2 linked regions of the Drosophila melanogaster genome follow. The gene in region 1 interacts genetically with each later gene. Each region holds a gene or a part of one and is shown in the gene's direction. Other genes may lie near its edges.

What was found. A genetic interaction does not mean that the proteins touch.
Region 2: of Dop2R (region 1) and Gad1, changing one suppresses a phenotype caused by changing the other (phenotypic suppression), as found in Drosophila melanogaster (one study listed by BioGRID).

Annotation. Positions count from the first base shown.
Region 1 is NC_004354.4:20,059,166-20,065,445, reverse strand, and holds the start of Dop2R (dopamine 2-like receptor), read left to right. Parts: upstream 1-2,739; 5' UTR 2,740-3,391; intron 3,392-6,280. UniProt on the Drosophila melanogaster protein: Receptor for dopamine. The activity of this receptor is mediated by G proteins which inhibit adenylyl cyclase.
Region 2 is NT_037436.4:4,085,201-4,091,499, reverse strand, and holds the start of Gad1 (glutamic acid decarboxylase 1), read left to right. Parts: upstream 1-2,755; 5' UTR 2,756-3,288; intron 3,289-3,795; exon of another isoform or gene 3,796-3,919; intron 3,920-5,656; exon of another isoform or gene 5,657-5,877; intron 5,878-5,970; exon of another isoform or gene 5,971-6,071; intron 6,072-6,299. Other genes in the region: CG14989 (uncharacterized protein), read right to left, coding at 839-1,227, 1,358-1,461, 2,286-2,533. UniProt on the Drosophila melanogaster protein: Catalyzes the production of GABA.

The DNA of each region.
Region 1 (6,280 bases):
CGCATGCCAGTTCGAGGCGAAGTCGCAAGGACCTGCGGGCTTCCCAAGTGGACGGGGACAATCTACTGTTAAATTACTTTAACTCGATTCATTTGCAATTGCTTTTTTTTTCGGTTTCTGGCGTCGTATATTTTTCGACGCTCTGTCTCGCACGGTGTGCTTTTTTTTTTTTTTTTGCACTTGGCTGGGGAGAGTGGGTCAGACATGCAACCCATACACTAAGCCTGGAAGCGACAGGAGCAGATACCTGAACGGAACCTTCTCTCGTGCCCGCACCCTCGATTTTCGGCTCGCCTTTTTTCGTGTGTGAGTGCTGGTCGCTGGCTATAAAACAGATAAATTGCAAAAGTTTTCCCAAATATTTTCACAAGACGACGGCAAGCCGATGGCTAAAGGTGTGTGTGGTTGCTGGCGCAAGGGGAAAGTGGGCGTGGCGGGAATGGCGATGGGGCGAGGGAGGGCGTCGGCAGATGTGGGCGGGGCAGCAGAGCAAGTAGCGCAAAAATCTGCAATAAAATTTTACCAATAAACTTTAGACGCACACATGGACGGCCGTCCGACACAGATGCGGATGCCAGTGCGGATGCGGATGTGGATGCGGATGTGGATGTAGTGTGGAAGTGCGGATGCTGATGCGGAAGTGGGTGGTGGAATGCGGACAGGTGGAACTTTTTGGTGAACTATACTAAATTATTGTAGTTGCTGAAAAAGTTTTTGTTCCCCACACCCGCTTGCTCACTCACTCTCCATCGCCTGTCTGACACACGCAAAACACAGAACACACACACACACACACACACACACACACACACACACTCACAGAGTGGAGGATGGAAATTCGAACACCCTTCGACATGTCCTTAGATTCCTGGGACAAAGCACCTGGGTAGTATTCACTTTTTACAGACTGTTTACAACAACAGCACACCGCCTTTCTAGCAGTCAGCATTTCACTTTCTTCTACAATTTCTTTATGAGATTTTGAATCTTCAAAACTATTTGTCTCGTTGGCAAGGGGAGAACTAATGTTTTTAGCTTCAGCTCGAGGCTCAGGGATTGGATGCGCCGCATGCCGCATGCTGCATGCTGTAAGCTGTATGTTGCACTCGAAACTCGTAACCCGAAACTGGAAACTGCGAACCTGCAGAGTGTCCCTGTGACAAATGTGCCAAACTTGTCCCGCAGACTTTTTCCAGTTTGTGTAGCCCGGCTGTTTGTTGTTTCAGCTAGTTGTTGTTTTAGTTGGCCCACAAATACTCGCACCTCCCTGTTTTTTGGCCGGGCTTCGGGGTTGAGGGGCTCCGGAGTTCCGGAGTGCTGGGGGTCAGCACATTGTGGGTCAAAATTGGTGACCAAGGTCGCCGTGTTTGGCAATTGAAACTTTGCATTCCCAGCGGAATGGCGAGGCTGGCCAACCAAATTAATCCCAGGAATCCCATCTCATCTCCTCCTCCGCAACTTCACCGCAATTTTCATGTTTTATGTTAGTTGGCGTGGGGCTTAATTTATTGATTTGATACATGTGCCTGATGCCGATTCCAGCCCCGAATTGCCCCCAGGGCGTGAATTTGGATTTGTGATTTGTGTAATTTGTGCAACTGTCACTAATTTCTATTTCCCGCTTCATAATGCGACTGCGTGTCCTGTTCGTCCTGCTCGCCCTGTTGGTCCTTTTGGTGCTGTTGGTCCTGGCATTTCTCTGCTCCTATCATGCCACTAATAAGTTTGTCATTTATGGGATTTATGTGTGCAACTCTCGAAACGGGAGGCGTAAACAAGTCCGAGAAGGAACTCAAACGATTCGAGACTCAAGTAGGAGCAGGGGCACAACTTTCTTTCGCCAGTTGGTAACCCGGTCACGTATGCGTGTGGATACAATATGTCATAGTGCCAGGATGGCTATGACGCGGCGGAGAAGAGGGCCCAGGATCTTGAGTATCAGAGTGCCAGAATGCCAGAATGCCAGATTGCCGGAATGTCGGAATGCCGGAGCTTCGAGTTCGAGCGGCGAGTTCCAGAGTGCATCTCCTTGAAAACAGCATGTGTTGCGCACTGGCCACTACATATTGATCCCATTCAAAACCTTCCACACAGATCTGTAAGATCATTCGAGGATAAGGCGCTGCCGTTGCCTTCATCTCGCACCAACCAACCACTTACATGCCGATGTGGCCGAAAGTGCCGATAAAACTTTCACTAAGCCCCCCTGGTAAATGTCCCTGCACCAATGGCCAGCTGACGAATTTGGCGCGCGCTTGACATTAACGCGGCTAATGGTGAAAGTTTTATGCCTGGCTTCGGCTTCATAATGTGCAACACTTGAGCAACAAGGGTGGCCCCCATGCTCAACGCAGGAACTTAACTTCGGCCACCAGCCACCCGCCACCAGCTGCTTTGGATGTCTTGGCTGTCTTGGCTGCTCCTGCGGATAAGAGAGCGCTTAAGAGAGTCGTTTTTCGGATGCTGGGCACTGGCACTGGCACCCAAAATGGGCGCCCAAAAGTCTGACGGGACCGCCTCGCCAACGGTTGGTGTCTCCGAAGAGTCAACTTCGAAAGCCAAAGCCCTTTGAACGCCCAAGGATCCGGCACAGAGCTCGTTGGGGCCTCGGCTGCGCACTTCGTGATTCGGACTTCGCACTTCGGCCATTGGAATCCTATTCGGAGCGCTTCGGCCCAGTTAGGTCCTTCGGCGGCAGCGACGGCGGCAGCTGACTCGACAGTTGGTTATGAAATCTGAACGTGTTCGCACGTGCCGCACGGATCTCGCAGCAGCTAAAGCCATCAACTCAACTCAGTTCCACTCCAATCAGCACTTCAGTCGCATCGTATCATCCCAGACTCTGACCGCAAAGTGAAAGTAAAAGTGAAAGTGAATCTGTATCTGTAGCTGAACGTGAATGTGAACGCAAAGGATTCGAAGCTAAACTGAACTGAACTGAACCCAACTGAATGAATAGTCGAACAACAGTGTGTGAATCAGAGATTGGAATCATTTCAGGCCAAGACTTTGTGTTGCAAATCAGTGTTTTTGTGTTCGCGCTTCGTCCTTAGTTGCCATCCCTCATGAACTTTAACCAACTCAATCAACAAGCTGCACAACTAAGGTTGTACGAAATTTACCATCTAAGAATCACCCGATAGTAGTTATATTTCAATTTGTAGTATCCAGTATCCGTCGGCAATAAAGCATTTTTTTTTTGGTTTTTTTTAAACATTTTTTTAACGTTCTAAACAAAAAAGTAAAAACAAAAATCACTTAGTGCATATGTGTACAAAACATTTGGTTAAAGCCAAAAGAATAAAAGCGAGGAAAGCGAATCGAAAGGCAACAAGGACCTGAAACCGAGCTTAGTTCGACTGAATTTAAGTAAAATACCAAAGTGAGCAAAGTAAGTATGAGTTTTCGAGTTGAAATTACAAAGAGTTGGTGATTCCTAGCATACTTTTGTGGCCAATCAAACGGAATTCCGGGCAAATGTACAGTCATATTGAAATGGGAGCGGGAATAAATGTGAAATGCGAGCATTAGTTTCTTTGATGAGCTCCTCTCCACGGACTTACATTTGGATTTAGATTTAGATTCGGGTTCAGTCAACTGCCAGCGAATGTCGGCTATACATCCGACAAATGCGAGCACTCAGAGTGTCTGGCTTTGGATCGCAAATCAACAGGAGGAACGTCAAATTCAGATTTCAGATTTCAGATCCGAGAGGCCAGAGGAAATCCATACCGTACACACACACACTCGCACGCACTCACATTACAGCCACGCATACTCACTCATCTGGCATCTGTGGCTTGTGCTTAAGTTAATTATTATCAATTAATAGCTAATCACGATAAATGTGCATGAAAGCGTTGGCACAAGGACACAGCGATACGGGATGTCCTTGTCTAAGTGGGCGGTGGTGACGCAGAGTTCGGGTTTGGGGGAAAGCATTTAGGACAAGGCAACAACAACACAACAAATGGCTCTGGCATACGGTCGTGGATGGAAACGCAACAGCCTCCCTCTTCCGCTCCCTATACCCTTCCCATTGCCAAGTGCCCACGGGGCTCCTCACCTAGTTTGGCATCCTGTTGATTTGTCCCACGCTGCGTATAAGCGATTGGTATTAAAAGTACGCATACGCACTGTTGTCATAACCCGTGGCTGAAAAATAAATTACGCTGCACTCGGTCACGCCCAGAGTATGGATTTTATTTTATTTCATTTTCATTCGGAATATGCTTGTTTGTATCGGTTACTTTGTCAATTGCGGTAGTTACAAAAATTAGATTTTTGATTTCCATTCTTTCCGTTTGTTTGAAAAGTTTTAATGCAGAATTTAATGATAATTTAGGATATCAAATAAATTACATTTTGCACTTTCTGCGCATATTCATTAATTAAAAAAGACGCCATTTTTCTGAAGAATGAATTAATGTGAAACAATTTAAAATTGAATGTGCGCATTTAATACTGAGCTAGGCTTACGCGTTTGTCGTGATGAAAAATGGTATTCTAGACTTGTTGAAAAGTATGTAACATGCTGTTTATATAAAGGATATATATTCTTGACCAGACTCACTAGACGAGTTCATCTGGCCTTAACCGTTTGTCTGTCCGTCCTTTTGCTTGATTCAATTGCCACACACACAAAAAGAATGCCAATAGAATGAAGAAAAACTAGTCGAGTTAAGGGTATCTGACAGTCGAGAAATTCACGCATTCTCTCTCGTTTTTCTATTAAAATGGTAACATATTAATGACAGCCTAAGTCGCAAAAGCGTTTATTAATTATCAATGTGATGAAAAACTTCAGTGGCTGTTCGCCTGTTATTACAATATTATTATTGGCAAATGAACAATGAGAGCGCAAAATGGACGCATAAAAGCGAATATTTATGATCTTGTGCTGGAATGCCCATAAAATTCAATCAAAGTTGCAGTTCCCAGTCCCAATTTCTCGTTCGCCCCTCTTCACTCGTGGAATGAAATGCTCCGCGCTCCGTTCACCGGACTTTGGACTTTGGACACCGGTGGGCAAGTGAAGCCAAGTGAGGTTCGTCGTCTTGGGCTTTGATCTCCGCCTGGGATGCCCGGGAAACGCTGGGGTATGGGGGAGTGGAAAATACCAGGGGTGCTAGCCTGCGGTGGGTGGAGTTCACTGGGTGATGGGTGGACAACAATCACATTCGCCGTTGGAGTGCCCTCAATAAACGATATTTTATTCTTTTTTCCCTCTGCTGTTTGCCAGCTGCCCTCTGCTCCTTCCGCTCCTTGCAGCCTCCCAGCTGTCCTTCCTGTTTTCCGTCCCGACCGAGGTCCTTTTTTTTTTTTTTTTGCAGTAACCCATCTTTCTGTTCAGTTCAGTTCAGTTCTGTTCTGTTCTGTTCGGTTTTGTTCGCCTTTCCTGCTACCACCTTCTTTTTCCCTTTTATCGTTTCAGTTACAAAGCGGCGCGCACTTTACGCTGATTGCTCGCTGGCGCAATCGTTCCACAGGACACGGCTTCCATTTCCTCCATCGCGTCCTTTCTGGCCCTGCTCGCTTTCCCTTTGTTTTCCGCAGCAGCAGCACGCCCCCATTTTGCCCGTTTTTCCCCCATTTTCCTCAGTTTTCCCCTATGTGTGCAACTGGGCATCGATATCATTGGGTTTATTGTTACTTCCTTTTGCAATTATCCTTGTTAGTCGGCGCACAGGACAGGCCAATGCACAGTGGCTCCCATTTCTAGTGCTCACTGGCACTAACTTCATTTGCCTTTATTTTGCGCCCCGCATCGCAGCTTGGCTTTTTGCGCTGCATAAAGTATCTGGAATTGTCACCCGACTCCTGCTTAATAAACCAGCAGTCGGTCCTTTTCGTCTGGCAGCGTGTCCTGCATCCAGCGTCCTGCGGCTCCACTTGAGCTCCCTGCTCCTCCGCCGACGGAAGTGCGAGTTTTCCACCGCATTTCCATCCCCCTTAGCGCAGATTTGGTCGAAGTGGGAGGAAAAGCGAGAACGCACAGCGGGAGAAATAGACAGTGGACTTGGTCACTATAGTCGGTGCTTTTCACAAGCACAAACGTTTTATTATTTAAAACTTTAGTATTATATGACTCTCAATAGCTATTTATCCGGATTTTAAAACAATGATTATTGAAGACTTAAAACTCTGCGTTGCCGACGTATATTTTTATTTTAGGAAAAAAAAAATATATAAGGAATATAAATCAATGAAAATAAATCAAGATATATTTTTATATTTTATGCATTAATGAAAATCTTTGATCTTATTAACTTTCCTATTC
Region 2 (6,299 bases), on another chromosome or scaffold:
CTAATTGCGACACTCCTAATTGATGCTGATTTGAAATATCTCAATGCTTTAGATTCGCCAATAACTTGTAAGCCAAAACAAAGGAAATTCTTTAGATACCAACTTGTTTTTGCCTCGTGGTAAATTGATATGCTGATTCCATCGAACCAAGGTGTATTCCAAATAAATGTGATTGGGTGTTTTTTTTTTTGTTTTTTGATTTTGGGTAGTGTTTACCGCACGATATGTTGTGTACATTGATATTAATTGGTTGTTCATCTTCATATATCTCTTCTTGTGTCTCCTCAGTCCAATTCCTTGACCAATCACCTAAATACGGGTTGTGTCCGTCCCGGGGATTTCGGATGCCTTTTGGGAGGGCATCCTCATCCTCCGAGGCGACGCACTGGAAGCCCTGCGTGATTCTGCTGTTTCTCGAGTGTGGGGGGTAAAGTCCCCCCCCTTGCTTACTCTATAGCTTTTCTATAGTTAGTTGTAATTGAAATTAGTTACAAATTAATTGATTCGCATAGGGAATTTTTTTTGTTTGCTTGCTCCTCCTCCTCATCGTATATTCTTCTCTATGTATTATTTATATTGAATTGTTTGATTTTTTTTTTGATTTTTCTATAGTTTTTGTTTTTATCTCTTTACAGTATTTAACTAAACTTTCGTAACACGTTTTCCGATATAGATTATATATGGGAGATACTTTTTCATGACAACAATAGCACTAACTGAAGTTCAAAAACGAAGAACAACAAAACATCAGATAATCAGATAATTCTCGATCCATATATATGGTTTTGTGATTTAGCGCCTCCATCGGGAGCGATCCCCTCAGGAAGGTGGGGATCGCTCAGCTGAAGAACGGCGATAAATCACAGTTGCACAAAGACCCGCCATCGCCAGTCTTGCAGAGCACCTTGCACACTTCGTCCCAGTCCGGTGCCGGAGTGGTTGTGTCCGTTTCCGAGGCGGCTGCCACGGTAGCTGCGGACACTGTTGCTTCCTCGACCGATCCTCTCCGTTCGGCATTCTCCGCGGCTCTGGAACCGTGTGTTGGATCGCCCAGCACTCCACTGGCCTTCTCCTCGTCCTTTCGAACCTCCTCCTGCTTCTCCTCCTCCTGCTTCCGCTCCTTCATCACCCTCATCCTGCGCACCTCCTGCTGGCAGGGACTGCATCCGGGCAGGGAGCGACCCATCTGACCACAAAAGCTCGAGCAGACCAAGTCGCCCGCTTTAGCTGGAAGTAAATAAGTGCATTTGATTAGTATGTTTATTTTTCAAAAAGCAAATTAACCTTAAGTTCGACCATAATAATCATTAAAGTATAATATTTTGAATAGAGTTTCAATATATTATTTTCCACTTACCCCTAGGCAGTCCACACAGTTGCCGGCACTTGGCCACATCCGTCTCCGGTCTCAGGATTGTGTTTTTGGCCACATCAGGCGTTGAAGCAACGCCCAGGCCAGCTCTGCAAGGATCAACCATAAAATGCTGATTAAATTGCAATGCAGAGTAAATTAAAAAAAAAAAAGATTTAAGATGACAGTATATGACACTCGCATTACCAAGTTAAGAACCATGATATATGCATAATTGTTATTGAAACTAGGTTTACAGATAACATAGTTTTAAATAGCACAAATGATCTAGGAAAATCTCGACTTGATAAACTGTTTTTTTTTTTTGTAAAAAATATATTTATTTCAAAACATTTTTAAATAGTATTAAACACCAAATTAAAAAATAATGCAGAGTATATTTTAAATATAAACGCAAGCCAAAATGTTCTAATTAATAATATTTGTAAATTATATATCGTAAAATTGTGAAATAATTTTGATTAGCTTTGACCCGACATTTAGAATTTATTTTTTAAAGCCTATTCAATTTTTTAAGTGAGCACAGTACTTCTGGCGACTTCGAGTGCCATTTATACTTAACATATTTGGCACTTGACAAACTACTGCACACACGCCACAAAAGTCGAGTCACGAATCATTGATATAGCCACCGATCATCAGGAATGCGGATTATATTTCCCTGACACACGCGATTGTGGGAAAACCTCGATGGAAGCCACTTGAAAGGCCGACGCGATTTGCAAATGATTTCTCAAGGCCAACATTTTAGTTGGTAAATGTGTCGTATTATTATCATTATTAGTTTGCACTTTTTTTTGTGTTGGGGGGAAACCTGCACTTGCCAACAATAAACACTTGAGTCACTTTGCGCCGAGGCACCTTACTTTCAGTAATTCCTAGAGTTTTCGATTGCTGTTTATCCGAAACTTACCCGCAGAGCTCTTTACACAGCAAACTCCAATCCTGAACTGCGCTGATGGTTTGGACGTCTTCAAGGATTTTGGCTGCTGAATGCGCTGCCGTCGGAGCAGCATCCCCCAAAGTGTCGTCCTTCAGGACGGGCGATGACGTCACAGCCTGCGCCTGCGCAGCCAGGATGAGGATTGTGACCAATGGTATGACGAGCTGTAATCCACATCCCCCCATTTTTCTCTGTCGCTTTTCAACACGCTCTCCCATCGCTGGGCTGAAAAGAGATGGGTAGATTACGGAACTGGGGGATGGGTTTTTCACGCTGGTTTGGGGCGTATTATCCTCCAGGGAGGACTGGGCCAAAATGGAGACTGTTTGGCCCCGTACAATAGGAGCAATTGTGCTCGAAATGCAATTATCGCGCTCTCAAAAATAGGCAGCAAAAAGCAGCGTTTGGGGTACTTGCCTGCGGGGCCTAATCCTTACACCATTGTTATCCCGAGCATTTGCTATCCGAATATCATTCGCTTGATTTGCCAAACCGAAAGGGGTTATGCAATCGCCTGTCTTTCGAACGCAACTGAGACTCCCACCTGGCATCCTGGCATTCTGGCATCCTGACAACGCTTTTGCAACGGGATTCTCGTCGAAAATACCTCACATAAATGCCTCAGCTAACCAACCTGCTGGAATCTTATTTTGTCAGCGTAATGACAGGCTAAACAGTCGAAATTCCCAAACTCCCATTTGTTTTCCACGGGCAACGAAAAATGTTCATGGCCCCCGGGGTGCGGAGCATTCCCTGGCCCACTGTGCTTCTGATGCCTCTGGCTGGCAGTTGAGAGTCGAGTGCCAAAGAGGACGCTTCGCCCTGGCCAGAAACGCCCGGTCTGAATTAGCCGCCCGAGAATAGCAGACCCAAGCTCCCAGCTCCATCCGCATCCGTGGGTGGCACTTGACTCCAAACATTTTCGCCTATCTGGGTTACAGGGCCTACTTGCGCTACGTGCAATCACAGCCAGGTGAGCATCCTATTTTCTGGTCGAGAGCTCATCTCATTGTTCAATTCCATTCGCTAGTTGTGCTCTTATGAAAGGGTATCGATCCTGTCTAACTATTTCTACTGATGCAAAGTATCTATCTCAATTTATTTATCTGCTATCATTAATAATAAGGAATGTTTATAATGAAGTATTAAATATTTAATGACTGCATAGTTTTATTTTTTGATAATTTTACAAATCCCTTTCAGCTTTCTAGTTTGATTAAAATCAAATAAATAGTTCTTCAAAGCTTTGTTATTTTTAGTAATATGACTATTCTTTTAACTAAAATATTCCTTAAAAATGTACATATAACTTTTAAAAGGGACTGCAAGGCGACATGCTTGTATTGCAACCATTATTTTTGAGAGTATTTTAAACATCGCTCTTAAAATGGCTTAAACCCATAATCCTTTTGTTTGTCCATGTCTGCTGCTGTTTCTGTTACTGTTTCTGTTTCTGTTTCCGTTTCCTGTTACAACTCACTGTGCTTTTCCAAAAGTTTGACTCAATTAAATCCGATTGTTCGTGGCACCTGCTCCGCTCGAAATGCTTAAATCCTTAACTCGACGGGATTTATATAAAGCTGTCCGCTACAAATGGTAGCAGTTGTTCAACTGAGCCCAAACCGGCCCAAACGAAAATCCCACTTACTAATAATAAATGTTTTTGATGGCTTTATCTGCCGGTGTCATAGATTCAAGTGCGAATCAGAGGATAGACTATCGCAGATACACCCGATCCCCCCCTCCTTTTCAGACTGGTCTGTTTGCCATATATCTGCGATAAGTGCAGACCGAGTGCCTAATTATTATTGGTAGCACATGCCGTTGAAGTGCTTTTCAGATAGCAGGCGACTTTATTTCGCCATGTTTAGTGGTTCTAAATACCATGAGCTGTTTTTGTATCAGAAATATTTGTCTGACACTTGTGATGGATGGGTTTTGTTAAAGGGTTACGCAGATGTTAAGGCGTAGGGTGCAAATTCATATCTATTAGGCGCCATATTTGTCACTTAAGGTCTTCTAAAATGTTTTTATTGTTTCAAGAAAGCAATTGAGCAATTAACAATTAAAAAACTGCGAAGAAAGTCCTTTCACACAGTTGTTGCCACATCAAAAGTAACGATTTCGTTGTGCAATTACGGCTTTATGGACTTTCTGCAACTGCCGTTGGATTTCTTCTAGCTAGTGCTACAAAGTAATGCACTACGCCCTATGAGAATGTTTTGAAAGTCATGTTGAACAAGTGTCGACTTCATTTTGCCAATATTGCAGGCATTCAATAAAAAAGATGGATCACAGGGACTAGCAAGGGAGTTATTGCCACTGTAATGGCCTTCTTAAGTTGCAATCAGTTACATCGAAAGACACTTTTCAAGTGCCAGAGCCCTCGCAACGAAAATACGCTGACGCATTGGATCCTGCCCAGGGAGCAGGAGCTGGAGCAGCAGCAGGACCAAGTGCCAAGTGCCAAGTGTGTGGTAACATCCTACGCCAGCTGCTCCGTGTGTCAGATAAGAATGGAAGTGGAGTGGGTGGAACTCTTTTGCGGCAAGTATTCCTAGGGTTCTCGTTGTTTAAGCTTCTCCAGTTTGATGGACGTCCTTTTTGGTCCTGCTGCTCCTGGGCTCTTTACCCAAGTTGCATAACATGGCCATAGATGTTCTCTGGCCCTCAAAAGTATGCTACGAAACGCGTTCTATTGGAAATGATGCAATTTCACTCTGAGATACATATCTATTTTGCATAGCCCAAGTGGGCGGGCGGCCTAGCTTTGACCCAAATTTCGTTTTTGTTCTATATACCAGGAATCTATATGCTTTGGCTTCTATATCTAAGCGCACATATGTACATATATGCGGGAAATGAAAGTAATTATAGGGTTATTTTTTTTTGTTTCATTCGACAGGAAACTCTCATAAAAAGTTGTGGGTCATTGTAAATGTCAGAAACAGTGGCAAAATTAGTTTGTTAATTAGCTTTTCATTTGGTCGCCCCATCACAATCTATATTTTCCTTTCCCTTTATCCCGTTTTATTATTTCTTTAGCATTCACCAGGCGTGCGCACATATTTCATGTGTATCTGTTGGATACTTTGGGGCGCGCATGGCCGAAGCTCCGCCCACGCAAAATGGCCTTAACAAAGATGGTTTCCGAAAAATCAATGACGTCACCCGGAGAATTTCCCGCATTTTCCTCAGCCCCACTGTTGTTGTCGTTGTCGCTGAAGGTTATGCAAGAGATTGAGGAGTAGTATGTATATACATAGGTACGCTTGTAGTGGTATATGGGCAGCCATTTTTTGGATGCGAAAAGCTTCGTAGGCAACTCAGGCGGATGCTGCTGCTCATAGCTCCGCAGATCGTCAGCGAGTGTAGGCTGCTCAGTTCCCTAAGTTTCCCAAACCGAAAGTGAAAGTTGCCCGAAACCTGTGAACCTGTGAAAATATATATACATTTCAAATCCAATAGTAATTCCCAGTCCGTTCAATCAGCGAATTGTTGCTCCTCCGTTTCGCGAGTGATTTTCAGTGTTTTTTGTTGTTGCTAGGAAGAAGAGAACTCTGTAAGTTGTCGTTGGTTTAGACCACAAGTAGTTAATCGCAGCTCCATCTCAGAGATACATTTCGATACATTTCGTACTCGCACATTCCTCTAGCTATATCTTTTCGAAAGCCTCGTCGGTGATTCGTCGCCCCCCGCAGACAGTCAAAGTGAATTACCTAAAGCAGTATATCGACGATATCCGCAGGATTATCGGTAAGACTCCCAGACGATTTTGTTGCATAAGTTTCGCACTGTCCAAGGTTTTCGCCATTAATTGCAGCTGTCGCGCTGTCTGTATCCCCATGTAAATCAAGCTTATGTATATATATAAGCTTATATATATATATACTATATATGTTCGTTCCGTCGCAGGAAATTGGCTTAACACTCACTGCGCAATAGCAGATGGCGCCAAAAGTGAAAAGGAGGGGCCCTGAAATC